Linked DNA regions of Mytilus edulis. The protein of the gene in region 4 interacts with the protein of the main gene of each other region in a pairwise test. Links are inferred from orthologs where the notes say so. Each region holds a gene or a part of one and is shown on either strand. Other genes may lie near its edges. The genes, in order: myosin-VIIa-like, E3 ubiquitin-protein ligase Bre1-like, calreticulin-like and ubiquitin-conjugating enzyme E2-17 kDa.

Region 1 (7,924 bases), on a different chromosome or scaffold from region 4:
GTATTAAGTATCTGCTATGGGGAGATAACTCTCACCTGATTATAATACATTGGTCATGTCTGTATCTTTTCATGTTATAGTATGAATTATCTGCTATAGCAAATACATGAGGAGGTAACTCTCCTATTTTTCTGTCGCTGTACAGTTTAATCTGTTCACTGGTGTAGATAGGAAGAACTTGGTATGGGTTAACAGCTACAAGGATGGAACCTGTGAATGTCTGTAAAGTGAAAGGGTAAAAAGATACTACACATCATTTGATCAATAACCAGTATCACTTACAAAAAACAATTTAACATCAAGCAATTCAATATAACATAACAAACATGAAATTAATAAAATAATCTAGTTTGAAAAGTATTTGTAGTTTAGCATGCAGATATTTTGGTATTTTTTCTGCTTTTATTTATGTAGAATTCATAGATTTACCACATCTTTCATTTTTTAGATTTGGAACAGAATTTTTGAAGTCTGATTCTCAGTGCAACATAATTTAGTAGGAAGATAACTTTCTTTTTACTGGCTAATGATCAGTTTCTGTCGACAGGCCTTTAACTTACTAACAAAAGTATTATGAAAATTGGTTTACAAGTGGTACCTTCTGCCAAAAAAAATACTTCATTTGTAAAAACTTAGATTGTAAGCAGCCAATAAAAGATGTAGTAAAATGCCTATTTTTTGTTGTTGTTTTATAATAGGTACAGTACTTGGAAATACACATTTTCTGACAGTATTGGTACTTAAGCCATAAGAAACACCAAGTCAAAGTATCCTACAGGTCCTGTTCTTGTACAAATTTGTAAGATTGAAGTTTTAATTAACGACAGTATCTAAACATACGTATAGCCATACGAAACACAAAGTCAAAGTATCCTACAGGTCCTGTTCTTGTACAAATTTGTAAGATTGAAGTTTTAATTAACGACAGTATCTAAACATACGTATATAAGATTTTCCATGTATCTTGTAAACAAATTCCTCAGGATTCCAGCCTCGTTTAGATCACCTAATCCAATCATGTCTTCGATTCCTTCAACTGATGTAGGGTGCATGTGTTTGATCTGTGTCTTCCCATCCAGCCATACTTCTTTGCCATCATCATCAATCACTTGGATCTTACCGGACTGTGTGAACTTGACCCTCCCTCCAATGGCCACATTAAATTCTCCCTTCGTCTCTGGCTCCAGCCACACATGGTCTCCCTAAAGGTAAATAATATCAAAATAAAATAAGAATTAATAGGTCACTTTAAGCCAAATGAGTTCTTTACACAAAACAAAAAAAGGTGGTTGTATTAACCTCAGTGACGACAATTAATGCTAGGTAAAATATAAATGGAGATGTGGTAGAAACCGAACAAAACAATCAAACCAGAATAGATATATATAGAGGTCAATATAGTCTACTAAAAATTGGAAGACAAGACTCTATACCATATGGCAAGATCTAAAATTACTACAGTACAAACAAGTTGTATGCATATAATACACCTTATCGCTATTTGTCCGCCATTGCTGAAAATCACACAGGTTCCGTAAAATTTTGACGTCATAAAACAGAATATCTGACGCCACAATGGAAAAGTGATTGTTGTTGACGTCAAAAGTTCAAGCGGCCGGGTCAGCCGGGGTTAGCGATAAGGTGTATTGTAACAGACCTGTAATGATATATACAATCAAGTTCAACAAGGAATTTTTAAAAAAAGCAAAAACAATAAGCTAGTACTACAGACATTTTTAGTCAATGAAGTCCCAATTTTCACTCTGGCAAGTCAAGAAACACAATATCAATGTTTTTTATTTTCATTTAGTTTATAAACATAGACAAGTCAACTTAATACTGATTTTTAAACTTATTTTTTCTCCTGTACCATAAAGTGGTCTTTCTGTCACAAATTTCACAGCAAAGCGCTAATATTTCAGGCCCATTGGAACATATTTTGATGAACAAAACCAACCCCCTTTTGATGGTACTAAACTATATATACACAATGACACTTTCATCATATACAATAGCAAATCATGAAACAATCTACCAGTAAAACAACATTATACTTAAAACAGCTGACAGACGTACCACCCTAACATGCAATGTTTTACCAATATTAAATTTTATTGGAAATTTCTTTTCTTTTGATTATACATAATAAGATGAGAAAGATAAGATTTACCCAATTCTAAAATGAAATTAGGTGCCATGTATATCTGTAATTTCAAACATACACATGGCCTTTTGAAAATTGAAAATCTTAATCCCTGTTTGTACTGGTTCAATACTATCACAGATATTACAAACTGGTCACTTACACTTGATTCATTAAACTGAATACTTTTATCTGTCAAAGTAATATGTAAACATTGGTTATACATTTAAATCTGATTGATTTTTATAGGTATTGCTTTACTTGCAAAATGCTTTGAATTCCTTAGTTGTTATGAGAAATTTTCTTATAACTTTAAATTTATATCTGCAATGTGAATGAATTGTTAGATAACTAACTCCTTTGCAGTATAATACTTTTATCCTTTTAAAATTTGGCACAATTTTTTTGCAACATCAGAAGTTATTTATTTTTAATGAAATCTGTGAATTGAGATAATTTGGGTTATTTTACTTGAATCTCCTTTCTGAAACAAATACTGCTCTTTTTTTGTCTTTTATTTTATTTCAATAGTAATTGCTCCAGATCTATCAACATTCATATTTTTTTTATGTTTATGTCTTCCAATATTGGCCTATTTAAGCTTCATTTTAAACACTATTTTTTTTCCAACTACATTAATTCCTATTTACTGTAATATATCTTAGTAATAAATCTTTTTCCAAAATGTCATCAATTGACTTCATCAAATTCTGATTGATACTTACATGTACCTGTAGTCGTGGATACACATTGTGTTCATCGTTTTTTTCCATATTTTATACAATTTTAAGTCCTATTTTGAAAGAACACTTAATAATAGAAAATTCATAATCCCATTTTATTTCTGAAGAGATACTAATATTTCTCCATGCATTTTATGATGTAAAATTCCATTAAAGTTTGACATTTTACGTTAATTCCCGTTGGAAGGTGTGGAACTTTGAAATATTTCAATCACTACAATGAATTTGTGCCAAGGTGTTCGGTGGGTTGTTTTCAGAATTATAAACTAGATTATCAGCACGACCTACTATTATCTTGTTTTTAGTGATAAAAACCTCCATATAAAGGAGAGTCGTATAAACAGCTTAATGGAATTGGTCAATTGATATAGATAATGATATCTGGATGAAGAACGAGATTATTACTCTCATCAGACACAAGATCGACTAAGCACTTGAGGCAAGTAAATTGTATTTTAGTTTTTATATTTTTGAAATCTGACAATTTATGTTTCTATTTTGTTTTTAGATATCCATGGGGAAACATTCATTGGTTAACAATTTTTTTTTGTGCAGCCTAATGTTTGTTTTAAAGGGTTGTAACCTGCAGTTATATTACTTTAGCTTGATTAATTTTCATCCAATGTCATATTCATTATTCAGTTAGATGTGTGAGTTTCTCACCTATTTGAGTCACATAAGTGATCAAGGATAGAAAAAAAGAGATAAAATATATTCAATTTACACAGAAAAAAACATTAAACTGATGTCTAGACGCAAAGTTTTCCAACATAAACCCACTAAATGCAGGCACATTTTCTAGCAGTGTTTAGGATCACTCATTTTCGAAGAGATATCATAATGGCTGAATGGTTTAAGTGATTGTCATATTGTCACCACTAAATGGGAAAACAGTCATATAGAAAAAATGCAGAACACAAAACAAGCAATCTTATCTTGTAAGTTAAAGGTTATACATCACCTTGGTCAATTAATAACCAACACAAAAAAAACCAACAAGAATGTGTCCCAAGTACACGGATGCCCCACTTCAACTATCATTTTCTGTGTTCAGTGGAACATAAAATTGGGGTAAAAACTCTAGTGGGGCATTACAATTAGAAAGATCATATCATAGGGAACATGTGTACTAAGTTTCAAGTTGATTGGACTTCAACTTCATCAAAAACTACCTTGACCAAAAACTTTAACCTGTAGCGTGACGAAGGAACGGACGGACGAACAGACCCACAGACCAGAAAACATAATGCCCCTCTACTATCGTAGGTGGGGCATAAAAAATAAACCACAGCTAGTCTATAAATCATGGCACAGAACACTATTCATTACATTGTATAAATCAATACACAAAACACTAAGCATAACAGTTCTCAAACATTGCACAGAACACTTAAACAATAGTCTCGAAATAATTGGGCAGAACACTCACCAAAATACTTAATATTCTATAGATCATTGCACAGAACACTTACACAATAGTCTCGAAATAATTGGGCAGAACACTCACCAAAATACTTAATATTCTATAGATCATTGCACAGAACACTTAGCACAATAGTCCACGTCATATCATTGCCTTGCACATAAAGCTAAGCACAAAAGTCCATTAATCACTGAACAGAACACAAAGCACAATAGCCTTAAAATAATTGCACAGAAAAAACACAAAAACCCTTAAATCATTGGGCAGAACACTCACCACAATATTCTATAGATCATTGCACAAAACACTAACTTAAGCACAAAAGTCCATAGATCATTGAACAGAACACTAAGCACAATAGCCTTTAAAAAATGTTAGCAGAATAATTAGCACAATAGCCTTTAAAAAATGTTAGCAGAATAATTAGCACAACAGTCCTCAAATCATTTAAAAGACCAATAAGCACACACATCATTAATCATTGAACAGATCACAAGGCACAATACCCTTTAAAACAGTTAACAGAACACTGAAAACAATAGCCCTTAAATCATTGACCAGAAAACTAGGCATAAGACCCTTTTAAACATTTAACAGAACACTGAAAAAATAGCCCCTAATTCATTAAACAAAACACTGGGCACAATAGCCTTTAAATCATTGAACAGAACACTAACACAATAGTCTTTAAATCATGGAACAGAACACTAGGCACAAAAACCCTTAAATCATTCAACAGAACACTGCAGACAATAGGCCTTAAATCAATCAACAGAACACTGCAGACAATAGGCTTTAAATCATTCAACAGAACAGTGAGCAAAATAGCTCTTATATCACTGAAAACAAGAATGTGTCCATAGTAAACCGGTGCCCCACTTACACTATCATTTTCAAAATTCAGTGGACCATGAAATCAGAACAAATACTCTAATTTAGCATTAAAATTAGAAAGATCATATCATAGGGAACATGTGTAATAAGTTTCAAGTTGATTTGACTTCACCTTCATCAAAAACTACCTTGACCAAAAACTTTAACCTGAAGAGAGACAGACGGACGTACAGAGGAACAAATGAAAAAACGAACAAACTAAAGGACAAACGCACACACAGACCAGAAAATACAACGCCCCTCTACTATTGTAGGTTGGGCATAAAAAAATACTAAGCAACATGCAGTTCACTAACTACCTGTTTGAAGTCAGGTGCTGGAAGAGTTACAGCAAGCCCTGTTACACAAGAAGCACACATTCAAAATTCAAATTGTGTTCAAATAAACATAACAATCCTGACGTCAGCCTTTTTCAAATAAATACAATACATGATTTACAGTAAGTCATGGCTATCTCAAATATAATGTCATGTGTGGCAGAGTTTTGTTTAATATCTACTTGGGCAGAATATTTCACACTGCATCCCCTCTGGGGTATAAGTCCCATTTGATCAGAACGGTAGGCATGTTAGGTGGTAATTATGCAAAAATCAAGTTTCATTCATTACTGTATATTTGTAATTCACCATCATTATATTGCCCAAATGAATAGTGAAAACCATTTAACACCATTGAACCAACAAGATTGTAGCAATGAAGAGAAATAACTCTTATTCTGAGTGTTGACTTTTCATGTTATTCTTTGATTGGATATGGCTAATGGATAATCCATAGAACAAATTTTAAAGTTGAAAAGCATGCTGTCATGTTTACCTTATACAAACAAAGAAAAGATAAACATTAACAATTATGACAGTCTTTAAAGCTGGATTGTCAGAATATGCTTCTGAGTTTTTGATTATCTCAATATTCACTTAAACTTTCTTATTAGACCATTCACTGGTAGTTAAGATATCCTGGTAAAGACATAAATGATGTGACTGCAGAAATCAACTAACTTCTTTGAACCTGCATTTGTTTACATCCTCCCACCCCAGACATGCCTAATAGGTTGATATAAAGATGTATTGGTAACTAATACACAGTACAAAAGCTACCAAGGCTGTTTTGATAGATTCAAAGTTGATTTAACAATTATTAAATTACTTCAAAGTATACTTATACTCACCGGTCAGGTGATGAAATTTCAGAAATTACATAATTATTGAGTTTAAAATAGGGGTTGGATGTAAAGAAACACTGACTGTTAAAATATTAGTTTTTTTTGTTCGAATTATTGTACATTTGTGATAACGGCGCTTCTTTTGGCAGACTGCAATATGGGTTTATCCATTGTTGAAAGCCATACGGTGACCTACAGCTGTTAATTTCTGTCAGTTGGTCTCTTGTGGAGAGTTATCTTTTTGACAGTCACTTACTTTCTTCTTTTTTATACATAAAATAATCAATATTTTTTTACAGTTGTTAAATATCACTGAACTTATGAGGAGTTTCTTTTAAGCATACAGCCCACGGCAAATATAACACAATAAGGGGGATAAGTATGTGGACAGAAGAGGAAGACATTGGAAAGGATTGCATTAGCTAAAACAGAGGTACTAGAGCATACACTCAAATAAGAAGAACAAAAATAATGCTGGGAGACCCCCAAAAATGTTGATTTGATAAAATTTAAATAAATGATTATTTTTCATAAATATGTTTTGCTCAGTATCTGAACACCCAGGGCCATCTTTATCTTAGTTGTTACACATTTGTATTAATTTCAACAGTAAAAATTAATAAATATTCAAAGAGGCATAACTTCTACAATTTCAAATAAAATAGTGCATACATTCGAGTTCTTTGATTTGTACGAACGAGACCTTAGAAATTGGACAACAGTCCTCTAATAATAATGCTACATGTTGATAGTCATAGTCATATCACTATTACATGCAGAGTCATTCTCCTGCCTTCCTGAAATCCTGTGATAAAATTAGGTTGCTAGGTTTCAAATACTACTGTCAGTAATGAGTCCCAATATAACAAACATTAGCCTATTTACATGACTTTTCATTAGGAAATGACATGGAAATATCAACACCTTTAGGTACACTAACATTATATAACAAAGCTAGCTATCAAAAACAAATTAAGTGCACTTTTCACTATACCAGACATTTTAAACATTATCCTTTAGATGAAGGTGTGTCTCTTCTTAGTAAAATAGTATCATTTTTAAAACATATTATGAGTTTTAGTTTGTGCAGTTTGCTTTATATTTGTAAATAGACTAAATTACTTTAGTAAGAGTTATTAATAAAAGTAAGTTCAGTTCCTTTCTGATGGAAACAGTTCTAAGTTTTTCTGATTGCCATATTCATGATATTTGCCAAATAGGATATAAAGTAGTTATCTACCAAGTTTTTTCTACTTTAAATCCTGTCTGTCTGGTGTATTTGAATAATTTAACTTTTTGGATAGATGTATTGAATTCATAACTGATTATTCTTAGAAGAAGAATGAAACTTAAAATGGATGAATGTTTTAAAACTATTAAGGAACACTTGTCAAAAACATATTACACTGAATTAGTCATCCATTAGTCTTTTTGAAGAAACAAATTTTACCTCCCCCTCCCTCCCCCAAAAAATGTAATTGGTTATAACCTTAATTATAATGACAATAAAGTGCAGGCTTTGTTAATAATTTTGAACATAGCTTACTGTCAATAGTTTT
Region 2 (7,667 bases), on a different chromosome or scaffold from region 4:
TCCGATTACCCGATATATTCAATTAGACGATGAATGTATATTCAATGAATATTCTACAATAATAAGTAGATCTATTGCTTAATATGTGAAAGGGCTGGAGGATTGATGGAGTGATTTTTATCAGTTACATCACCACGATGTTTGCGAGAAAAATTGTTGATCAGCTGATTATGTAGCTAATGAATAAATTTGTTTCCACTTGCAGTTTTTAAATCCTATATTTATTAAAATCAATCAAATGTCCTGAAATATTTATGTAAATTATTATCTTCCATCCATAGTTTGTCTTTACTTGTTTAGTAAACAAATTATTTACATTTTCACACAGGTAAACTAATTTGGCTATAAATAGATACAGATAGATCACAGCATGTCTGAGTAGAATCTCTTATCTAAAATCGTAATTGTTATAATTTTATTTCTTTAAATAATCAAATTTAAATTTATGAAAATAATCATGATTGATAAAATAGTATTGCATAAAGTTTACGCTTTCAGAGACTTTTTATGTTTAGGTCATGGTTCTACAGGCTTCTTCACATATTTGTAAACAAACCAATATGGCCGCCACACGTGATTACCTTTGCACATGTGAAAAAAATATTTCTGACAAAAGTCAGATTTCTCTTGTCAAAAGGGATTTATATTTATATTGCAATACATTATTCAGAAGGAGGTACATTCAGTTTCAATTATATTTCTTATTCTATGAGCATTTAGAGTTTAATCAAATTCTCCCAACAGTAACGTGCTGCTCTTGTCAACTGAGTCTTGAATAATTTTATAAATACTTAATAGATTCAAACCATTTGAAGTAGAAAGGCATCTAGTTCACATGACAAGGAAAACAATGAATAAAGACACCAATTTAATAAGAAATAGATCCTTTTTATTTATTAAAAACAAAATCTTCTTGTCTGCAAGATTGCAAATTCGTAACTTCAAGGTCGAACTTGTAAACAGGGCGAGTTGTCCCAATACCAAATTCACGCATGCGTACTACAAATATCTACAGTAAATTAAAAACATCCGGTTACAAGTAAACAAATAACGTTCATGGATTTCATGTGGATGAGATGAAATCTATTAATTTACATAAATAAAAAGGTCATATTTACGATAGTGATTGTTTTTCAATCCTAATTTACAAATCAAATGATTCAGATGCTTAATCATGTGTAAAAATCGGTGTCAGGAATCTTAAGTTGTTATGAAATTGTAATACACAGAAACGAATGCGGCATATGGAGGCTCAATGAGTTTAAAGTCGGTCCCATAGGTCTTCAGAAGACTTGACGTCTTCTTCCACCAAAAACCCTGACCTTGTCACAGGACAAATAAAATAACAGTAAGAAAAAAAATTGGAATCATAATTTCCTGTCCATATGCACATCTACATAGTATGTCCTTATAATACATGTAGGTTTCATAAAATTCTGTTGTGAGGTTTCAGAGGAGTTTTGATGACAAATTTGATGACAAACTGTTGCAAAAGTATATTGAGGCCAATAAGTTCAAAGGGGCATAACTCCTAGAAAAATAACCTGAATCATAATTTCCTGTCGATATGCACATCTACATAGTATGTCCTTTGTTGCATGGGGTATAGAATGATTGATCTTGAATGAACAATTGAAATTTTTGCATGTATATTTAAGACCATAAAAGGTTAAAATAGACTTTACTTTGTCCATGTTGTCAAACCAATACACTAAACTGATTTTTTTAAACAAGCTTGCTCACAATGTATGAATGACATAAAAATAATAGCCTTATATTTATGACTCAAAATATGTTACCTTCACCAGTTACAAATTCTTTTCTTTTTTCATCCAGATGAACTGAGATTTTGTCACTGGACAACAAAAAATATTCTCTAAAATAAAGAAAATGCAGTATTAATTTATTTTCCAGAAAGGAAAAAATTCAAAATGAAAAGACTCTTATATAAAATTAGTAAATTTGAAATTAATTTTTTACAATCAAAAGATATTATCTAGAGGAAAATTCGTAAAATTTTTCACCATTTTCGTAGAGCCTGTGATATTAAACAGCAAAAGCAGGAGAGACACTGGGTTCCGCAGAACCCTTACAAATTTTATAGTATTATCTGTATGAACCTCTCCCTGAGACGATGTACAGATACATGAAAAAGCAACCAAATTTGCTGTGTTCTGTATAATGCCTTGCTATAAGTGTCTTTAATAAATAATACAAAATCAATATATTATTTTCATCAGAATTTTGAAATATGTAGCAGAAAAATTGAATGATTGTTACAATGAATTTTGAGCATTGATAGAAATAATAATAATATATGTATGCATAAACACTCACCCTTTGAAGTATGGGGATGGCTTTAAAATATGACTTGCTGAAAGTAAACAGAAAACAAAATTATTTAATCTGTGACTAATTATTCCACTTCTTCATGTTCTTGGTGTTTGATGTGTGGTTTAAAGGTTATCCTTTGGTTATCCTTTTTTTATATAGATTACATGTATATTGTTGGTTTTTCACACTGGTCATTTTGGAGCCATGTATAGCTTGCTGTTCAGTGTGCGCCAAGGCTCTGTATTGAAGGCCATTATCACTTTTACCCATACATGTAATTGTTTACTTTTTACACATTGTGACTTGGATGGAGAGTTGTCTATATAGTGATAGCGATACATAAAATTTGCACTCACAGGATTTTAAGAGTGCTTAACCAAATATGCGTAATGGCAGGCATGTAAATTTAGGGTAGGCAGGGAGACTGGAAACACAACTATATTGTTTTTGACTTTATTCCTAATCAAGTTTTAATCCGACATCATTGACACTCACACCACATCTTCCTATATCTATATACTTAAATAAATTGACCTATAAATTTGACAGTAAATGTCGACTCCATGAGGGATGTTGTTTGTGGAACACACAATATGTAACCATTATCTTGGACTTCTTTGTACAGGTTTTTATGTGTAGTCTGAAAATAAAAAATAATAAAACAGTTTGATGAAATATATGTCTTAACATTTTAAGCACTTTATCAGACACCAAAAAAAATTATAAACAATTATTTCTTCTTAGTTTAATCTTTAGCATGTTTAGCAATATATACATATACATGCCAGTGCCAAATTCATGTCAGGAGCCTGTAATTCAGTGGTTGACGTTTTTTTTTATGTGTTACGTATTTTTTTTTATATAAATAAGGCCGTTAGTTTTCTTGTTTAAATTGTTTTACATTGTCATTTCAGGGTCTTTTATAGCTGACTATGCGGTATGGACTTTGCTCATTGTTGAAGGCCGTTCAGTGATCTATAGTTGTTAATTTCTGTGTCATTTTGGTCTCTTGTGGACAGTGGTCTCATTGGCAACCATACCACATCTTCTTTTTTATATGTGATTGTGAATAATGAGACTGGGTGAGAACCACACTAAGAAGAACTTAAATTTCAAAAAACTTTAACCGCAGAGTGAATATTTGTGGAAGCTGACGCAATGTAGGATTGCTATTTCTCACTTTTTCAACTAAAGTCGAAGGCTCAACAAAAATTAAATGTACTCATGAACTCAAAATCATTCTCTCTTTTTTAATTAGTACTGTTGACAGCTGTTGAAATGTTCTACAATTTACAGCTCACATTTGTATATCTGATGATTACCAAAATAAATCAATGGCAACAATAAAATTTTAATACAGACTTCCTCTTCCTTAACCATGTTCACCTGCATCATATATGTAATCATTATACATGTATAAGTTTGCAACAACTGTAATGAAATGACAAAAATTATGACGTAATAACATATATATAAAAAAAGAGGGATGAAAGATACCAGAGGGAGAGTCAAACTACTATAATGAAAGGTCTTAAGGACAAAAATTATGAGGTAAAAACATATACAATTAATGTGACATTGGAAAAGTACGGGAAAATATTATGCACAGATGTCATCTCTAAACTCATGTCATTTCATAGAACTACGGAAATAAATATATGACAATTAATTTTTCTCAAACAATGATGATTACCCTGCTGTTACCCAGCCTCAACATGTGAAAATAAGAGGATGTGGTATGATCAGATGATTGCCAAAGGCAAAGAAAGAACTATATTTTTGTTATATTCATATGAATAATTTCTAACAATTTAACTTAAATTTTATCAAAAATTGGGCGCGAACATGTAGGGTGCGAACGGACGTGGGGGGCGAAAATGTGAGGTGCGAACGTGTAGGGTGCGAAACTATATTGGGCGCGAACGGACCTGATACCCACAGTGCTCAGTTCCTTACAGTTGAATTTGAATTATACCTGTAATGACCTAAAGAAAGGATTAACATCTAATTCATCAATTTCAGCCATAGTTCTGAATATTTTGAGAAATGAATATGGTAACTGCAATCAATGGTGGATGTGATAACCTGGTAATTTTATCAATCATGAGATTTGACAGTTGACCGGAAGTGTACGCCATTCGAAACACCTTGAAGTTTCTCATGCGTTTAGATGTAAAGTCTAGAAGTTATCGAAATTCATCCGGGACTTTTCAAGATGGAAGCCTAAGGTTGCAGTTTTAAAGAAATTATTTAAAATATATAACGAACAGATTTTTTTCAATGTTAAATACACCTTTTTAAGTGTTTGATGTTTGCTAGCATTTATTCTATATGTATCTTAGTTTTTAAGATATTGCTCCATGTCTTTTTCTTTCTTCTTTTCTTCTTCTTTACTACTTTAGTCTTTAGTTTTGTCAAATGCTTGTCTTCTTCCATTATGTACTGTTCCTCAGTGTGAATTCGCATTACTGTTTAAATAAACCTCACCTATTAACACTAAATGTTCACACAGAGGTTTGTTACTATTTGCCGAGTTTACTATCTATGGATCCCAATGGACAATGATGGATAGTCTTAGTTAACTTGGCAAATATGAGACCCACTATAAAAGAACTTTAGCTGGATATGTAGACAGTAACTGTTTGGTGTTTTTAAATATCAGCTGTATGTGTATGACCAGTCAGAGATATAACTCTATAGGGTTATTACAGAAAATAACTTGCGTGTGTTATTACAGATACTTTTCCTTAAATTTTCTAAATCTGTAATAACATATGTTTGTTATTTGTAAAATTATTTAATCTATAGTGGACTCTAGGAAACTCTTGAGACTTTGCGCAGAAACTAAATGCATAGCCTTGATAATTAATTTTTAAATTGAATTAATACATTTTTGATTTACCATGGTAAATCAATGAGACAAGGCTATTAAGGAATTAACTTAGCTGTGATAACAAGGCTTAGTTATTGAAGGAATGTAGCTTATTATATAAGACACTTGGGAATTACTGAGAAACTTGCGCAGAACCTCATTACATGCTCTGGTCATTATTTCTTAAAATAAATTAAAATACGTTGTAATTAAGCATGATTTATGTCTGAGCAAATGCTTTGAAGTGATATAGAGAAGCTGTGATAACACCCTTTAGTTATTACAGGCATTTTTTTTCTGTGATAACATATAGGTGTACTATCCAAAATTAGAATACTATGAACTATTACATCTTTCAATAGTTAAGTATACACAAAGACAATAGCAATATTAATAGAACTTGTATACATTTTAACTAAACTTATGATGTATATTGTCCCTTTGAAACATGTAACATACATATGTTATCACAGTTCTTTGATTTTTTAGTCCACAATAACAAATGTATGTTATTTTCCTGTAACAACCCTATAGAGTTATATACTAAGTGAAATAGTGAAATAACAATTCGCTTTTTGCAGCCATAAATGTTCAATTTTGTCAAATTACGCTAAGAAACATTGATAATTAGTCAATCACTTGCAAGTGAATGAGTCGACCGCTTTAAATCCGTATTCATGTGAACTTCAATTTAACCCCTAGCTAGACAATGCTACAGATTGACAACGCATGCATTGTACGTGTACTGGTTATTTAAAGAAAAAAAATGTCAACACAGTGTTCTCCCCAGGCCGATATGACGCTGCGGTGCCGCAGCGCCTTCATAATATTTTCGTTAATCCCGCAGCGTCTTAATTGGCCGCTGTCCCTTGCTACTTGATCCCGCAGCGTGTTAATTTTCACATTTTCATTATAAATGTTGGTTAAAAATTGTCAAGTTGCTGATCACCGCTGAGAGTTCGGTCAGTGTTACGCAATATCTGATAATTATATAGTTTTACCTGAGACACGCTTATCTCAGCCTTATCGGACTATGTTATCATGTAATAGCGTAAATGATCATCAAGAAGATAGATATTTTCAGCAGAAAATTAAAAAAAATTAAAAACTTCAGTGCAGAAATTGAAGAAATAGATCGCAAATACATTGTATTTAAGCATCGTGTGTGTGATTACTTGACCATTTATATAACGAATTTTTTCATTGGTCGAGAAGAAGAATCTATTTAAAGACGACCAATGAACGTGTTCAATACACGTGATAGATTTGAATACACATTGCTAAAGATATTTACGATGAAAATTATGAATGAGAGAATTTGTAGTTGAAAAGATTAAAATAAACTTTGATTAAAGATAACGAGAAGTGATTTATTTTAATTGAAAGTGAAAAATGTTGCTTGCAAGGTAAATTCGTTTCAAACTGTCATATTTTTAGAAATAAAATGATCATTGAACATCGATCGTGAGTCCATGCGTCGGGAACATTTTATGTGACAATCAACACGGGTACGGAATCGCTGATAATGTCACTAGTAAATAATTCCAATGGTCTTAACTTTAACGAAGTCTGGTTTATATTTACCTGCCAAAGATAGGGTTTAACAATACATATAATGCACAATGAAGCGTAATTAAATGTCAAACTACGGAAACTTGTCAGCTGTTCATTAAAATATTTTTGTTTTAAAAAGTTGTATACCAACTAGATCTTAACCATATTCGATTTTATTAATTCTGAATGAACATGTTCTCTGCAAATAACAAAGGGTGAATTCTAAGCAAAAGACATGATGGAAGTAGAAGGTTGTTTTTTTTCAGATCAATGACTTCTAATGAAAAGGGGAATACACCTCCCTCTACACTCAGCTGTCAGTATAAGCAGATGTTATAATTGCTTCTCCTAATCCCAACTGAGCTAAAGTTTTAGCAAGTGATAACAGCAAGCATCATGTTTCTAGTTTCAGTGACAAGTGGCTGACTGAGTTTTCATGGCTTAGAAATGTTAAGGGGGGTATAAGCAAAAGTTATTATGAGAGGGGGTTTTCAACCCTGAAGAGGATTAAGACAACGTTGAGGAACAGACTGTCCAACAAAATAACACTATCTTGAAACAATATCCCTAGAAGTAACAGAGAGTACAGAGATGAATATTTATATTTTGACTTCTTTAATTGACTGAATATAAATAACTTTTGTTTTTAAAATCAATTTATTTCATATATAGTATATTCTTGTATAAATTCATTAATACTCTGCGTTATTAAACACACAACACAAAGCAATATTGCATGTTATGATTTATGACTGATTGATTCAGATCACAAAAGTTCACTATAAAAAAGGAGTTAAGCGCCCTTTGAATTTTCCGCCTTAAAAAAATCCTGGGGAGAACACTGCAACAATGAAAGTAAAACTACCGTAAATCATTTGATTACTAATTCGATGTACATAAAATCATT
Region 3 (8,138 bases), on a different chromosome or scaffold from region 4:
CGATTAAAAGGAGATAGAATTAATGATTGGTGAATGGTTTTGTAATGTCCAACGCGATATTTCATTCATGTAATTTTAGGCTGAGATCAAGTTTAAGACTTAAGTTGTAGGAGTAATCTGCAAAGGATCTTACGGAAAGAAAAACAAGAAATTTGGACTGCCATTGTTAAAGATGATATGATATATTTGGAAACTGGGGTAAATAACCAATGTGTCACCGGCAAAACTTTCGGACAAGTCATAGATGAAAAGAAATTTCGAGGGACAGAATGAAATAAACGCCCATTGTACTATAAAATTGATTTTGTTTTAGTTTTTGAAATGCAAAATAATGCAATATATAGCTTTAACTCAGACAATCTTACACAAAAAGTGCCGGCATCAAATAACCACGAGGACTCAATATCTGAAGGACTTATATAAAATATTGATCAAATATGCTTATAGATAAATCGAAACAATTAAAGGGTTGAGATATACGAGGGTCAGTACGGGGTTTACCGAATAGAGAATAAAGGACCAATCCAACAAATATATGGCCCAACTTGAAAATAGAGAATATAGAAAAGTAGGACTAAAAAAATAAAAAAGAGAATAATGGGGTACTAAATATAAAGAATAAAGATTAGTGGAAAAAATTATAAAGGATAGAGAAAAATGGCTTGAAAAATTAAAGATTAGAGAATTGAAGGATCCCTATCTAGACCATCATAGAGACATTTCTTAGATACCATCCATTAATAAGAACTAAGATATTCATATTATATATTTATATAATCTCGGACAACAACAACTTCTGGTTTAGATTGATACTCTCCAAATGTGATAAACGGAGTAGTTTCTAAACATATATGTTTTGTTCAACTTAATTCTGACTTGGATATAAACATGAACACAACAGTCCATGCAAAAATAAAACAATTCCTATACACGTCATTATATAATATCCTTCTAACAAACACTTGTCACGGTAACAAACAATTTAATCGTTGTACCCCCTCTGTAGTGACATTTTCACCTATTATGTCTGTTTGTTTTGTTCACACATCATTGTCAATATAATGAAAATTCATCCAACTGTGATACATTACAAATAGGATGCTAAGCTAGCTAATCCACAATTTTCTACATAAGTAAATACCTGTATCAAGTCAGGAATATGACAGTTGTTATCCTTTGTTTTATGTGTTTGAGCTTTTGATTTTGTCAGTTGATTCTCGTTTGATTAGAGACTTCCCGTTTTGAATCCCTCGGAGTTCTATTTAAGGCAAAGTTTGACAAAATAATCTGTTAGTTTTTTTTTTTTTAAATAATTAAGTTGGATTAATTTCTCCTATAGCTCTTTGTTGTTAATTTTTTTTTGTTGGTGCACCATGCTATAAAATACTACTTTTAACTGTATGGTATTGATACACTTAGTACTTGACACTACTACCTACGATGCTTGTACATATGTATCCGGCATGTCCGGATATCCCGGTCTTACCAAAATCTCTCCGAAATTTCTCATTTATTTAAAAACACGTGTACAGGTTGTCGGTATCACATTTGTCTTTCCTTTTTTTTGTGTTGTTTTTTTTTGTCGGAGTCTCTAGATTTGTTTGATTTGTGTGGTTTTTTTTGGGGCAGGGGGTTTACAACATATAACATAACATTGGCTAAAAAGTGTAGGGAAGTAGGGAATGGATGGTGCAGAGACTATTCGTAAAAGATCTACAAAATAACAACAAATTCTCCAAACGACTATATTAAAGATAAAGATATATCCAATGCATGCACCTACTAACGAGGTTCCTATCTGATAGATACATTGGAACATGATTCCGAAGATTCAAATAGTTTTACTAACACTCAAATTTGAGTCTTACCTTTTCTGCAATCGGAGGTTCGGGGGGTTAACCCCCCCTCTTTTTACGACGATAAATGCATTTGAATTGCGGGACAAAAGTTGGAACCCCCTTTTTATAATGGGTTGGGAACCCCTTTTGAAGATCGCTAGATCCGCCCCTGATTCATTACCGACTAACAATTAATGTAAATAATTCATGACGCGACATCCCTATACTATAGTCTATAGCACTTGTAATATATTTAGTATTCTCAAATCAAACTTAAATGAATAGCATATTCAAGTGCTGTTCTAAAGTCAGAAGTTATGGACTTTAAACACAGAAAAGCAAAGGGTGTCGTGTGATAAGGAAAAAATCCTTATCTATGAGTTTTCGCGCGAAAAACATAGATTTTAGTAAAATTTCTAGAAACAGTTGAGTACATTCCCACATGAAATATACGTTTTGGGTGAAAAGTTTGCAGCCATTTAATTGTATGCACATCGATTGTAGATAATTGTAAAATCATGGCCACGCGAATATTCATAATATTTGAAAGATCTGACAATTTAAACTTTTCTCTAAAAAATTCTTCAATCTATAATTGTTTGTACTATACGTCAATAGCTAAACATTGAAGAATGTGGCCTTTAACTTAATGCACCCCTCTTTTGCGTTTTTTTGGGGTCTTATTGAAATGAAATTGTGTAAATTGTTTCATGCCATGATTTTTTCAATGAGAATTCAGGGCCGTAACTACATGGAGGCAAATGAGGCAAATGCCTCATGTTGGAAATTTCAAAAAAAAAAAAATGAAACAAGATTGTCTTCATATCAACCTGAATTGTTTTCACGGAAAGTGTCTTGCAAGAAGCAAGTTCTCTTCACTCTCTGATATCGCCCCTGCATGTTTTTCGTGACCCATGTTTCTATTTTACTTTTAGTTTTCAGAGTTGATGGTCTATTGTTTGTACTTCTGTGTTCCGAGTGTGTCTTTTGTTCATTTATTGTCCTACTTTATAACTATAGTCTGCATAGTGTTGATTTTTCATTTGTAAGGTGTGGTTTTGCAATGTTGCAAGTCCACCGATGTCCAGACATTGTACGAGAAACTATTTTAAGAATATATACGATGCTACTGGACTTAGAAAAAAATTGTCGTTTCTGCATGGAGAATTGAACTTGATATCAAAGAATACAAAACTGGCTCTTTTTTTTGTAGATAAAACTAGATAGCTGACATGGTTTAAATTAAAGTAAGACCATCCATTGTTCTTGGTCTCAAATCATCTTTAAAAAAACGGCAATGTATTGCCATATGACCTTTTACATTGAAGGCTTAAACTTGCATGAAGTCGTGTTCAGACTCTTAAACAGAAAATAAAAGAATATGGAGTAAACGTGCACAGGACCTTATCTCACACAAAGTCAATACATAGAAAAAATACAAATGATCAACGGTCAAAGTTTTTTCCTATTCTTCATCTTGATAGTTGATGGAAGGTCTTCAAAAATAAAAGAATCAAATGTTAATACCGTAAAACAAGGTCAAGATGGTCCTTAGTGTCGACATAAGCAGTACTAGTACTTATAGTATAATACTGCATTGTCACTATATTTAAATCTAGTCAAAAAAAAATCACCAAAGTCTGAATTAAGCACAATACAAGACAAGAACAGACAGACATAATGATGATGTGAATTTCGGTTTTTGCTTTATCCTACATATCGGTCTACATTTAATGTTGTCCCCGTAAAATCTAAAAGTCTTAAATTACAATGAATCTATGTTTTTGCTTTGAGACAAGAATATTGTCGAAAGAAATAGCTAAAAATGAATTGCGTTTCAATGTAAGAAAGAGTCCGGGAAACGCTCAGAATGCACGATTTTGCGTTATTTTTCTCAGAGCTTCTGGGGGCCTTGAGAGGCCCCCATATACCTCGCCAAAAATTTTCGCCTCGCTACGCTCGGCGAATATATTTTGTCTCAATATTAAAAGAGACTAGTTACGGTCCTGGAGAAACTGGGGAAAACTTTTCAGATAATACATTTTTTTCTTGTGAAGAAAATAAGAATCAAATAAGATATGTGATGATCAAGGATTTGTAGTCCTTTGTAGTAAAACTACTGTACATGTAATATGATTGAAAATCCTTCGGTAAGATGTATAAATACAGAATCAAATCGTGCATGAAAAATGTATATTACATGTATGGTCAATGACCTAGAATATATAAACAAAGTACAAATCCTTGGTATACATGTCAACTGGCAGCATTTCTTTATTTTTGTATCCGTACCCCGAATAGCCTTTCTAGACCACTGAGCATGCATGATGAGGGGGGAACAGGGGGTACCCTTCTCCCTTCTCCCACCCCTCTTCTCCTTTCTCCTACCCCCGTTCTCCTTTTCTCCCATTAGAATAAAACATCTTTTGAGATATTTTTTCTTGAAATATTAGAAAAAATTTTAAAAGGAGAGATATTTTATTTTTTCTCCTTTCTCCAACTTTTTCTCCTTTCTCCCAGCCTTCCTCTCCTTTCTCCTATCTCCTTTCTCCTACCCTCTTTCTCCCTGTCTCCCTTACCCCTGTCCTCCCCCTCCATGATTGCATAAACATTTCAGTACTAAATAATTCATAAGTGTATTTCATATATGAAAACAAGCATGTATCAGGCACTAACAAAAACCCAAATAAAAAACAGATTTTTTTTTTCAAAAATGTTGTTGTTGTAGTTGTATGTGTATTGCATATTGTGTATTTAGGCCTATATTTTTTTTTTATTTATCTATTTTTTCAATTCTTACATAACATCTTCTCATGTTACATCTTACGTTCATGAAAAAACTTCTAACAAGCTTTTAATGATAAATGTTTCTCACGTTTCTTGATATAAGCTTAAACTAAGTTGGTCTGATCTTAGCTAATTTCGTGTTTTCGTGTCAGCCTATCCCCCCTTTTTGTGCTGTCAAAATCGGATTGGATATAATAAATATCCGTGGCACGGAAACAGCCGAATGTAACAGGAATAGATTGACGTAGATAGCCGGGCGCGTGGTACAAATCGATTGGTCCACCGAGGTAAATATATATCCAATGACAATCTTCCATCTGGCCTGTCACGTGTGTCCCGGCATCTTCTCACTGGAAATACAAACATCAGAGAAGTGAACATCATACTTGAACATCATATTGGAACATCGTCGAATAATGAGAACTTTCCTGTTGCTTGTCGCCGTTTTCGGCGTAGCACTGTCAGACCCAACTGTTTATTTTCAAGAGGGTTTCTCCAGTGGTGAGTTTGCAACCTTTTTTTATAACTTTTGAGAGACGGTGTGCACATGTAAGAAGAACACACAAAATTATCCTGAACTGTCAAAATTGTGAATCACTTTCGTCGATTACTTCTACAACACTTTGCATTCTTGAGAAATATCATTCTAATGATATTAGGATCCTGATATTAATTGCCAGTGTTTGATTAAATAATTTAGTACAAGGTGCTTGCCTGTTGCAGTGTTGGGAAATTAAACAGACTGGCCAGTCATGTCAGTGGCTTGTGAACAATTTGTGCTTTACTACATGTAAATAATGAATACTAGGCTGACAGAGTTAGCCTTTTATATTTCTTTTGAAATCACTAGATTTCTTAAAGGATTGTCACGAGTCATGATAGTTTATTCTTTTTGTGATATATTTATTTATTCATTTATTTTTGTATCATATGGCTAGTCCGAGATTACTCTGAGGTCCAACGGCTGTTTTGCCAGACAAGCTGGGGCCGTGGGACGTCAGAGCTCGTCCCATATAAAAAAGTGGATATTTGCCCACCCAAAATAGATATGCTGCTTCGTCGCTTCTGGTGCAGACTGACGGCATTGGAATTATATAAATCGGGCATGAATTTGATCATTTTTCATTTATCTCTTTATTTATGTAAGCTTCACCTACCTGCCACCCTTTATTTTTCCATATTTAAAGTTTTCACAGTGACCTATCGATTCAGACATTTTTACTTTCATATCATATGCCATGAACCCTGTTCAGGGCTTCAGGGTATATCTGTACATTGATATCAATGTTTTTAATGATTTCGAGATAGAAATGTGGCTTATGCTATATGAAATGGGTAGGGACACTTTTCTGATATAATATATGTTGTTTGATCAAATGATCTTTAAATTAAATGACGACTCCGGAAAGGTTTATATTTTCCCTATTAAAACCACCAGATCTGTGAAGGAAAACAGTTAAAATGAGAGGGTTGGTGTCAGATCCGAATTTTTCATAAAAGGGGGGGGGGGGAGGCTTTAGTTGTGCTTCAGTGATTCCCTGCATAATCAGCAAAATTTTTCCCACTAATGGGGGGAGGGGCTGCCCCACCCTTCCCCCTTATTCCGACTGATGGTTGCCATCTCAAATATAGTTTGTCCTTGCCAAAGTTGCATGTGGTTGCCTTGTAACATATATTTATGTTATCTATCTTTTTTAGCTGGTTGGACCGACAGATGGGTCGAATCTACTGCTAAGGGAGCAGATCAAGGCAAATTTGAATGGACTGCTGGAAAATTCTACGGAGATGAAGATCTTGACAAAGGTAGACATAATAACATTTAGTATGTCGTGTATGAATTTTGCATACATGTATAAAAACTATGGTTAAATGGAAATGGATTCATAAATGTCTTCATTAAAATTTAAAAATCCAAAAACTAATAATAGATCACTCACTGACTTAATTATATATCAGTGTCTATGCTAGAAATTTTCACCCCTTAATCTAAGGAAAAATAGAAAATATTTTTAAAATCTATATTAAATCTTAATTTTACAGGTATTCAAACATCCCAGGATGCAAAGTTTTATGGAATTTCCAGCAAACTAGAGAAGCCCATCAGCAATGAGGGAAAAACTTTAGTTATCCAGTTCACTGTCAAACATGAACAGAACATTGATTGTGGTGGAGGATACATGAAACTTTATCCAAGTGATGTTGACCAGAAAAATCTCCATGGAGATTCTCCATATCTCATCATGTTTGGTAAGTTATAAAAAACAAGGTTTTAATCAGTAGTTTTCTTGTATACCTTACAACTGATTTTTCCCAAAATGATATTGTTGATTATGGTTTTCTTATTAAGCTGAGTTTCTGATATTTCTAAACGAGGACTTCTATTTAAAGTGTTAAATGCTTTCATCAGTCTTCACGCCGAGTGGCAGCCCAGGCTGGTAAAATTGCTCTGGGGCCTGTAAAAATCAGACCTACAGGCCAACAGAATCGAACTAAAAATTTTCAAAAATTGAGCTGTAGACTTAGCAGTTCAGCGTGAAGACTGTATCATCAAAATAAAGGCAATAACTTTTTGTTTTAAATTTGTCAATTGCTACAAGTGCATTTAAAATTCATATTGGTATTATATGAAAACAAAATATTTTCAAATTTATAAACCAACTTTTGAATTTGATCCTCTTAATATAATCAAATTGATGTACAAGTTAGGATCCCTCCTTGGGTTTGCAATGTTCAGTTCAGGTAGTACTAAATGTATTGCAATTTGGTATTGGTCCAAATTGAGATTATTTATTTGAATTTATTGTTTTCAGGCCCTGACATATGCGGACCAGGAACCAAAAAAGTACATGTGATTTTCACCTACAAAGGAAAGAATCTTTTAACCAAAAAGGAAATCAGATGCAAGGTACAGTAGTTTTCTTTTGATGATTAGAGAAAGCTTATACCATAAAGTTTGCAGAAAGTGCAGTCTTGAATTTGAGAAAAGCAACCTCAATAGATTTATTGGAATGAAGCAGTGTTAAAAGCAAATCAAGTTACATATGAAAAAGAAAGAGCAAACCATGACAATTAAAACAGATGGACAGGCAAAATTTTGTTGATGGTCATTTTGTGTTTTCAACAATAATTCAGTCAATTTGACTGTTAAATGTACATTTATAAGTGTCAAATTAACCAGAAAAGATCTCATAAACTTAAGGAGATGTAGTATGCTTGCTAATGAGGAAACTTAAAAAAGTTTATTCTAAAAAAAAAACATTGAGAAGATAGTCTTAACAAACATAAATCTTGCTTAATTTAAGTAATGATTATGATCGTCTCTTTAATTTATTTCAGGACGATGTGTTCACCCATTTATACACATTGATAGTAAGACCAGACAACACATATGAAGTTAAAATCGATAATGTTAAAGCTGAGAGTGGTACTTTGGAAGATGATTGGGATTTCCTTGTACCTAAAAAAATTAAGGTTAGTATTGAAATACTTATATATTGTTTTCTCAGGTTTTAT
Region 4 (7,919 bases):
AGTTTAATTGAAGTCAGGAGCTGGCATGTCAGTTAACTGCTAGTAGTCTGTTGTTATTTATGTATAATTGTCATATTGTTTATTTTCTTTGGTTACATCTTCTGACAACAGACTCGGATTTCTCTTGAACTGAATTTTAATGTGCGTATTGTTATGCGTTTACTTTACTGCATTGGTTATAGGTATAGGGGGAGGGTTGAGATCTCACAAACATGTTTAACCCCGCCGCATTTTTGCGCCTGTCCCAAGTCAGGAGCCTCTGGCCTTTGTTAGTCTTGTATTATTTTAATTTTAGTTTCTTGTGTACAATTTGGAAATTAGTATGGCGTTCATTATCACTGGACTAGTATATATTTGTTTAGGGGCCAGCTGAAGGACGCCTCCGGGTGCGGGAATTTCTCGCTACATTGAAGACCTGTTGGTGACCCTCTGCTGTTGTTTTTTATTTGGTCGGGTTGTTGTCTCTTTGACACATTCCCCATTTCCATTCTCAATTTTATAATTTGGCTTTAAAATTAGAAAGATCATATCATAAGGAACATGCATATTAAGTTTCAAGTTGATTGGACTTCAGCTTCATCAAAAACTACCTTGACCAAAAACTTTAACCTGAAGCGGGACAGACGGGCGGAGGCACAGACCAGAAAACATAATGCCCCTCTACTATCGTAGGTGGGGCATAAAAATAATTAAAAACATTCCTGTAGCATAAAGTGTTGTGGATTGATGGTTATTATGGGACTTTGTATAAAACACAAAGAAAGATGTGTTTGTTAACTCGTCATTATATACAGCTCATAAATTAATCAGTCAAATTTATTCGTTAAGTGTATGTTCACTTGTGTTAATATGTCTTTTGATTGAGTCAAGCCATTTCAACTGATATTTTATAGTGTATGCGTCTTTCTTTGTTGTGATGTTACACTATTGTTTCTGGAAAGGGTGAAGTTGTACCTACATGTAAACAATGTTTCAAAACATTTAAAACACAGCTGTATTTGTTTGCACCTGTCCAAAGTTAGGAATCTGATATTCAGTAGTTGTTGTTTGTTGATGTGGTTCATAAATTTTTCTCGTTTCTCTTTTTTTTTTTGAGATTTGATTCTTGGTTTTCTCGTTTAAATGGTTTTCTACTAGTCATTTATGGAGCCCTTTATAGTTTGCTGTTCGGTGTGAGCCAAGGATCCGTGTTGAAGACCATACTTTGACCTATAATTGTTTACTTTTACAAATTGTGACTTGGATTGAGAGTTGTCTCGTTGGCACTCATACCACATCTTCTTAAACATGTATCTATGAGTTTGTATGAGTATCAGGACCTAATAATATGTCAAGCTCTACATCATTCTAAGGATGTTTGTACTAAATACACACTTACCATTAGGGTGAAACATTTTAGATACAAATCGTACTGTTGGAGGTTTATTTGGATATTCTTCAGTGAATTCTACTGTTAATTTAAATGTACCATCTTCAAAAGGTGTGTCATGTGGCCTAAAACAGAATATATAACAAATGAAGTCCATGAAGCAAGCAATAAAATAAGACAGTGTAAACAAAATAAGCTCATATTTCAATATGCCTGTTAAGAAATCATTTTATAATTATATGGATGCAGTACTGTCAAGTCTCATCTTTTAACATGAGACTCCACATATTCATGCTTAATTGGTGACATTTTCTTTTGATTCATTGTTCTTCTCTGATGTTTTCTGGGAATCAAAACAGGGTCAGGATCGATATAATATCATAACAGAGATATCACAAAGGTGAATGACAGTCCATGAGTCCTGGACTAGTCATGATAATGAAAATCTGTATTTGAAAAATGTCAAAATAAATCTGGTGCCCTGTTGATTATTTCTTTGATCAGTCATTTAACCTTATAGTAATCAGGATACTAAAGAAAATAAATGTAGAATGGTATTGAGAGAAAAATAGCTCTAGAGAGGGAGTTATGATTTTTGTTTGAGAGAATTGTTCTTCAGAGTTTAAAGACGATGCCCCCATATTGTTGAGTCTGCAGTTTAGATGTTGTAAACTTGTATAACTGTTACTTTTGGTTTATTTCAATTATACAATATTTAACTTTTAATACACCTTATCGCTACTGGTCCGCCATTACTGGATATCACACAGGTTCCTGTAAAAAATTGACGTCATAAAACAAAATATCTGACGCCACAATATAAAAGTGATTGTTGTATGCATCAAAAGTTCAAGCAGTCGGGTCGTCCGGGATTAGCGATATGGTGTATTGACTTTGTGGTTCAGTTCAGACAACACCAGGATCCCATTTATTTATTTATGTGACCAGGATCCCCTAAATCACGCTACCAGAAGATATCTAGGGTAACCCTCTTAAAGTATTTCAGAGGCATTTCATGTACGTAGATCTGTGGTCTGTGGCTTATATGGCAATATGGCTACAAGATGCATCATTTTGTAGAAAATGATGCACATGTTTGTAATTGGCTCTTTATATAAATTCTTTCCATGAAAAGGCACCTGTAACTTGTTCAAATGTTCCTAAATAGAGTTTAATGTTGTTGTGCTGGAATTAGTAAACTCTGATTATTCAATGACAATGAATAGGCTAATAGTAATAGGGATTGACCTGATTATTATGACAAATTATCTTGTTTCTCGACAAAACTTACCCAAATATTACCGCATTCCACAACATTATGTTATTGTCTGTTGGGGCACCACTTACACCAGCAGGTGGATCTTCTTGTAATCTGAAAATGAACAGTAAGAACTTTGAAAAAAAATATATAAACAAAAACGGAAGCCATGTTTGATAACTGTTTTGAAGTACATAATTCGTTTTAAATGAGAATAGGGCTACACTACCTTTTAAAATCTCTCATCAATCGTCTCCTAGCAGGTGTGGACATTGTTATACGTTATATTTTACAATAATTGTGCGTTTATCGCAGTATTTGATTGATATTTCCCTAATTAATGCGGAGAGATATTTCTTGTTTATGACGTTCTCATACGGGTTCTTTTCGTTTTTCGGTATTCAGTGAAGATGGATAAATCTGATGAAATCTAACGAATGTTCCGAATGAAATAAGATCATGTGATATTTCAATCACATTTCAATAGGTAAATGCCATTCGTCACAACTCGGCCGATTCCGTACCTTCAGAAGGAGAGATTCACCGAGCATTGCCGAATGCGGTAATGCTTATATTTTTTCAAAGAGTTCTGTGTCCCTTGGAAATATAACACTATTGAAAATTTCATAAGTGCACAATTCTTGCCAGATATCATATTATATTTATATCAGCAATGCCTCTATACCAATTTTGAAAATCGGTGCCTATTAACAAATTGTTAAAGAATTGTAATCATTGGAAATATATTTAAAAATAAAAATTTAAACTGCAAATTTAAAAAAAATGTGATATCTGTGATCATTGGAAATATATTTAAAAATAAAAAATTTAAACTGCAAATTTAAAAAAAAAATGTGATCATTGGAAATTTATTTAAGAATAATTTTAAACTGCAAATTTAAAAAAAAAATAGTGCTTCATATATCATGTACATATGTTTTTCTATTTCGCAAGATACATGTATATGCTATTGCTTAGAGTTAATTTTTAGTGCTGCTTTTAATTATTTATTTTGCATGCTGCATGCCTTGTTTTATTTGTTATCAAGTTGCATATGTTTTTATATTCGGTGAAAAGGTCATTATCTAGAGCTTATGTTTGTACTGTTTGTCAATATGCCGAATCCAAATAAAGTTTTACCTACTTACTTTCTTACTTATATCTAAAAAAAATAATATAAAAACGGTTTTTAAAGAAAAAAATATGTTTGTCAGTTTAAGGATTTGCATAGTAAGTCTTACTATACAAATCCTTGGTCAGTTATTGTCCTGGGACTGATAAAATATGTACAACGTGGGCGCGGACAATGGAACTCTGTTCTTTTATATCTTTTACTAATGCAGTTTTTTTACATGTTTAAAATATTAATAAAATCTGACACTACTAGTGTATTATAGTAGTCTCAGATAAAAGGTTTAAATAAATCGATATGATGATATGAGGGTGGTAAAGGGGGTGCCTTCATGACGAATAACGGTAAAAATTCTTGCCAAATGACGTTTTCTTTAGTAGGCTTACGGTATTAAAAAAAAATCTTGCCAAAAGACGTTTACGGTAACTTTTGGTGCATGACGATAAAATATGCCGGCACTTTCTTTTAGACGATATATAAAATCGAATGATTTTTCAAAAATAACGGTAACGATAATTATTTGAGAACTCTGACGAATCACGATAAAGATATTTTGACGAATAATCATTTTGACGCTAACGGTAGCCGAAAATGCCCGTTTGATGCCTGACGGTAAAGGGCATTACTACCCTCTGATATATCTGTTATTCAGTGACACGAGTACAAACGGCCAATGAATATCACTTAAATATTTCCATAATATTTTTGAAATTGTGGCGTGTTACATATATATTATATTGCCTTTTCGGAAGAAACGGGCGTTCACCACGTTTTCTCGGATTGCATGTATTATTTGTCTCACGGACTGGTGTTGCTCAATTAATGTTTTTCTGTGTAATATTTTGTTTATTTGCATAATTTGTCATGTTTAATGTGTTTGTATCTTGGAATACGCATTGTATCATATGTGTTTTGTCCAATAAAATATTTGAATTTGAATTTTGTTTATATGAGTAAAATTATGCCGATTTTTTTATTGTCCTCTTGGTATTTTCTCACTATATCTCTTTAAGACAGGTAATTGCTAAAGGTTACATGTTTTACATGTCACAGTTATGCTAATTCTCAAGTTACTAAGCACGACCCTTGAACATGTTTAGAACATTTTAATACACACGGACATTTTTTTTCCTTCTATATGAATTGTAGATTTAAAAGCTGATATTAATCATTTGATTTATCATTGTCCAATGGTGAGTTGTTAAAACTGGAATCGTTAAGTTAACACCTAGTGCCAATTTAACAGTATTTAAAAAAAAAATATTATTTGACACAAAGGCGGATAAATTGGTAAAAGAATGGACTAGCAGTTACATACAAATAACTATCAAATGAATAGGCTAGTTAATATAATAATTTGGATTAAAATAGATAAATTATACAATTATAATAATCTGTGACAGATCAATTGTCGCCGGGTCCATACTTTACAGTCCTATTTGACCAGTCTAAAAAAAAAACAGTACCTAAATCAGATAAAGATGGCACAAAATAACTGGATTCTTGACATTGAGGAATAATCTTAAAGCCGGACCATTGAAGAAATTGTATATTCTAGTAATATATAGTACTTAGGCATTGTTAGCTCATATCCCATCTTAATTCTTATATCTATAGACAAGAGAACTCTAGTAATCTATGGTACTTAGGCATTGTTAGCTCATATCCCATCTTAATTCTTATATCTATAGACAAGAGAACAATAGTAATCTATGGTACTTAGGCATTGTTAGCTCATATCCCATCTTAATTCTTATATCTATAGACAGGAGAACTCTAGTAATCTATGGTACTTAGGCATTGTTAGCTCATATCCCATCTTAATTCTTATATCTATAGACAAGAGAACTCTAGTAATCTATGGTACTTAGACATTGTTAGCTCATATCCCATCTTAATACTTATATCTATAGACAAGAGAACTCTAGTAATCTATGGTACTTAGGCATTGTTAGCTCATATCCCATCTTAATTCTTATATCTATAGACAAGAGAACAATAGTAATCTATGGTACTTAGGCATTGTTAGCTCATATCCCATCTTAATTCTTATATCTATAGACAAGAGAACAATAGTAATCTATGGTACTTAGGCATTGTTAGCTCATATCCCATCTTAATTCTTATATCTATAGACAAGAGAACTCTAGTAATCTATGGTACTTAGGCATTGTTAGCTCATATCCCATCTTAATTCTTATATCTATAGACAAGAGAACTCTAGTAATCTATGGTACTTAGGCATTGTTAGCTCATATCCCATCTTAATTCTTATATCTATAGACAAGAGAACTCTAGTAATCTATGGTACTTAGGCATTGTTAGCTCATATCCCATCTTAATTCTTATATCTATAGACAAGAGAACTCTAGTAATCTATGGTACTTAGGCATTGTTAGCTCATATCCCATCTTAATTCTTATATCTATAGACAAGAGAACAATAGTAATCTATGGTACTTAGGCATTGTTAGCTCATATCCCATCTTAATTCTTATATCTATAGACAAGAGAACTCTAGTAATCTATGGTACTTAGGCATTGTTAGCTCATATCCCATCTTAATTCTTATATCTATAGACAAGAGAACTCTAGTAATCTATGGTACTTAGGCATTGTTAGCTCATATCCCATCTTAATTCTTATATCTATAGACAAGAGAACTCTAGTAATCTATGGTACTTAGGCATTGTTAGCTCATATCCCATCTTAATTCTTATATCTATAGACAAGAGAACTCTAGTAATCTATGGTACTTAGGCATTGTTAGCTCATATCCCATCTTAATTCTTATATCTATAGACAAGAGAACTCTAGTAATCTATGGTACTTAGGCATTGTTAGCTCATATCCCATCTTAATTCTTATATCTATAGACAAGAGAACTCTAGTAATCTATGGTACTTAGGCATTGTTAGCTCATATCCCATCTTAATTCTTATATCTATAGACAAGAGAACTCTAGTAATCTATGGTACTTAGGCATTGTTAGCTCATATCCCATCTTAATTCTTATATCTATAGACAAGAGAACAATAGTAATCTATGGTACTTAGGCATTGTTAGCTCATATCCCATCTTAATTCTTATATCTATAGACAAGAGAACAATAGTAATCTATGGTACTTAGGCATTGTTAGCTCATATCCCATCTTAATTCTTATATCTATAGACAAGAGAACAATAGTAATCTATGGTACTTAGGCATTGTTAGCTCATATCCCATCTTAATTCTTATATCTATAGACAAGAGAACTCTAGTGATCTATAGTACTTAGGCATTGTTAGCTCATATCCCATCTTAATTCTTATATCTATAGACAAGAGAACTCTAGTAATCTATAGTACTTAGGCATTGTAGCTCATATCCCATCTTAATTCTTATATCTATAGACAAGAGAACTCTAGTAATCTATGGTACTTAGGCATTGTTAGCTCATATCCCATCTTAATTCTTATATCTATAGACAAGAGAACAATAGTAATCTATAGTACTTAGGCATTGTTAGCTCATATCCCATCTTAATTCTTATATCTATAGACAAGAGAACTCTAGTAATCTATAGTACTTAGGCATTGTTAGCTCATATCCCATCTTAATTCTTATATCTATAGACAAGAGAACTCTAGTAATCTATGGTACTTAGGCATTGTTAGCTCATATCCCATCTTAATTCTTATATCTATAGACAAGAGAACTCTAGTAATCTATGGTACTTAGGCATTGTTAGCTCATATCCCATCTTAATTCTTATATCTATAGACAAGAGAACTCTAGTAATCTATGGTACTTAGGCATTGTTAGCTCATATCCCATCTTAATTCTTATATCTATAGACAAGAGAACTCTAGTAATCTATGGTACTTAGGCATTGTTAGCTCATATCCCATCTTAATTCTTATATCTATAGACAAGAGAACAATAGTAATCTATAGTACTTAGGCATTGTTAGCTCATATCCCATCTTAATTCTTATATCTATAGACAAGAGAACTCTAGTAATCTATGGTACTTAGGCATTGTTAGCTCATATCCCATCTTAATTCTTATATCTATAGACAAGAGAACAATAGTAATCTATGGTACTTAGGCATTGTTAGCTCATATCCCATCTTAATTCTTATATCTATAGACAAGAGAACTCTAGTAATCTATGGTAC

The links.
Region 1: the proteins of ubiquitin-conjugating enzyme E2-17 kDa (region 4) and myosin-VIIa-like interact in a two-hybrid assay, tested with the Caenorhabditis elegans proteins (2 studies listed by BioGRID). The link is inferred for Mytilus edulis from reciprocal best matches to the Caenorhabditis elegans genes ubc-1 and hum-6.
Region 2: the proteins of ubiquitin-conjugating enzyme E2-17 kDa (region 4) and E3 ubiquitin-protein ligase Bre1-like interact in binary tests that used the Caenorhabditis elegans proteins (3 or more experiments, as listed by UniProt). The link is inferred for Mytilus edulis from reciprocal best matches to the Caenorhabditis elegans genes ubc-1 and rfp-1.
Region 3: the proteins of ubiquitin-conjugating enzyme E2-17 kDa (region 4) and calreticulin-like interact in a two-hybrid assay, tested with the Caenorhabditis elegans proteins (2 studies listed by BioGRID). The link is inferred for Mytilus edulis from reciprocal best matches to the Caenorhabditis elegans genes ubc-1 and crt-1.

What each region holds. Positions count from the first base shown.
Region 1 is NC_092346.1:78,765,640-78,773,563, reverse strand, and holds the start of myosin-VIIa-like, read right to left. Parts: upstream 3,078-7,924; 5' UTR 2,917-3,077; coding exon 2,869-2,916; intron 1,203-2,868; coding exon 942-1,202; intron 221-941; coding exon 36-220; intron 1-35. UniProt on the Caenorhabditis elegans protein: Myosins are actin-based motor molecules with ATPase activity. Unconventional myosins serve in intracellular movements. Their highly divergent tails are presumed to bind to membranous compartments, which would be moved relative to actin filaments.
Region 2 is NC_092349.1:58,371,904-58,379,570, reverse strand, and holds the start of E3 ubiquitin-protein ligase Bre1-like, read left to right. Parts: upstream 1-4,471; 5' UTR 4,472-4,562; intron 4,563-7,667. Other genes in the region: ankyrin repeat domain-containing protein 27-like, read right to left, coding at 1,800-1,876, 2,338-2,374, 2,869-2,974, 4,310-4,360. UniProt on the Caenorhabditis elegans protein: E3 ubiquitin-protein ligase that mediates monoubiquitination of 'Lys-117' of histone H2B. H2B 'Lys-117' ubiquitination gives a specific tag for epigenetic transcriptional activation and is also prerequisite for histone H3 'Lys-4' and 'Lys-79' methylation.
Region 3 is NC_092344.1:93,359,862-93,367,999, forward strand, and holds the start of calreticulin-like, read left to right. Parts: upstream 1-4,899; 5' UTR 4,900-5,041; coding exon 5,042-5,126; intron 5,127-6,323; coding exon 6,324-6,428; intron 6,429-6,665; coding exon 6,666-6,872; intron 6,873-7,435; coding exon 7,436-7,530; intron 7,531-7,961; coding exon 7,962-8,096; intron 8,097-8,138. UniProt on the Caenorhabditis elegans protein: Molecular calcium-binding chaperone promoting folding, oligomeric assembly and quality control in the endoplasmic reticulum (ER) via the calreticulin/calnexin cycle.
Region 4 is NC_092351.1:724,358-732,276, forward strand, and holds the start of ubiquitin-conjugating enzyme E2-17 kDa, read right to left. Parts: upstream 3,035-7,919; 5' UTR 2,901-3,034; coding exon 2,857-2,900; intron 2,742-2,856; coding exon 2,661-2,741; intron 1,495-2,660; coding exon 1,379-1,494; intron 1-1,378. UniProt on the Caenorhabditis elegans protein: Catalyzes the covalent attachment of ubiquitin to other proteins.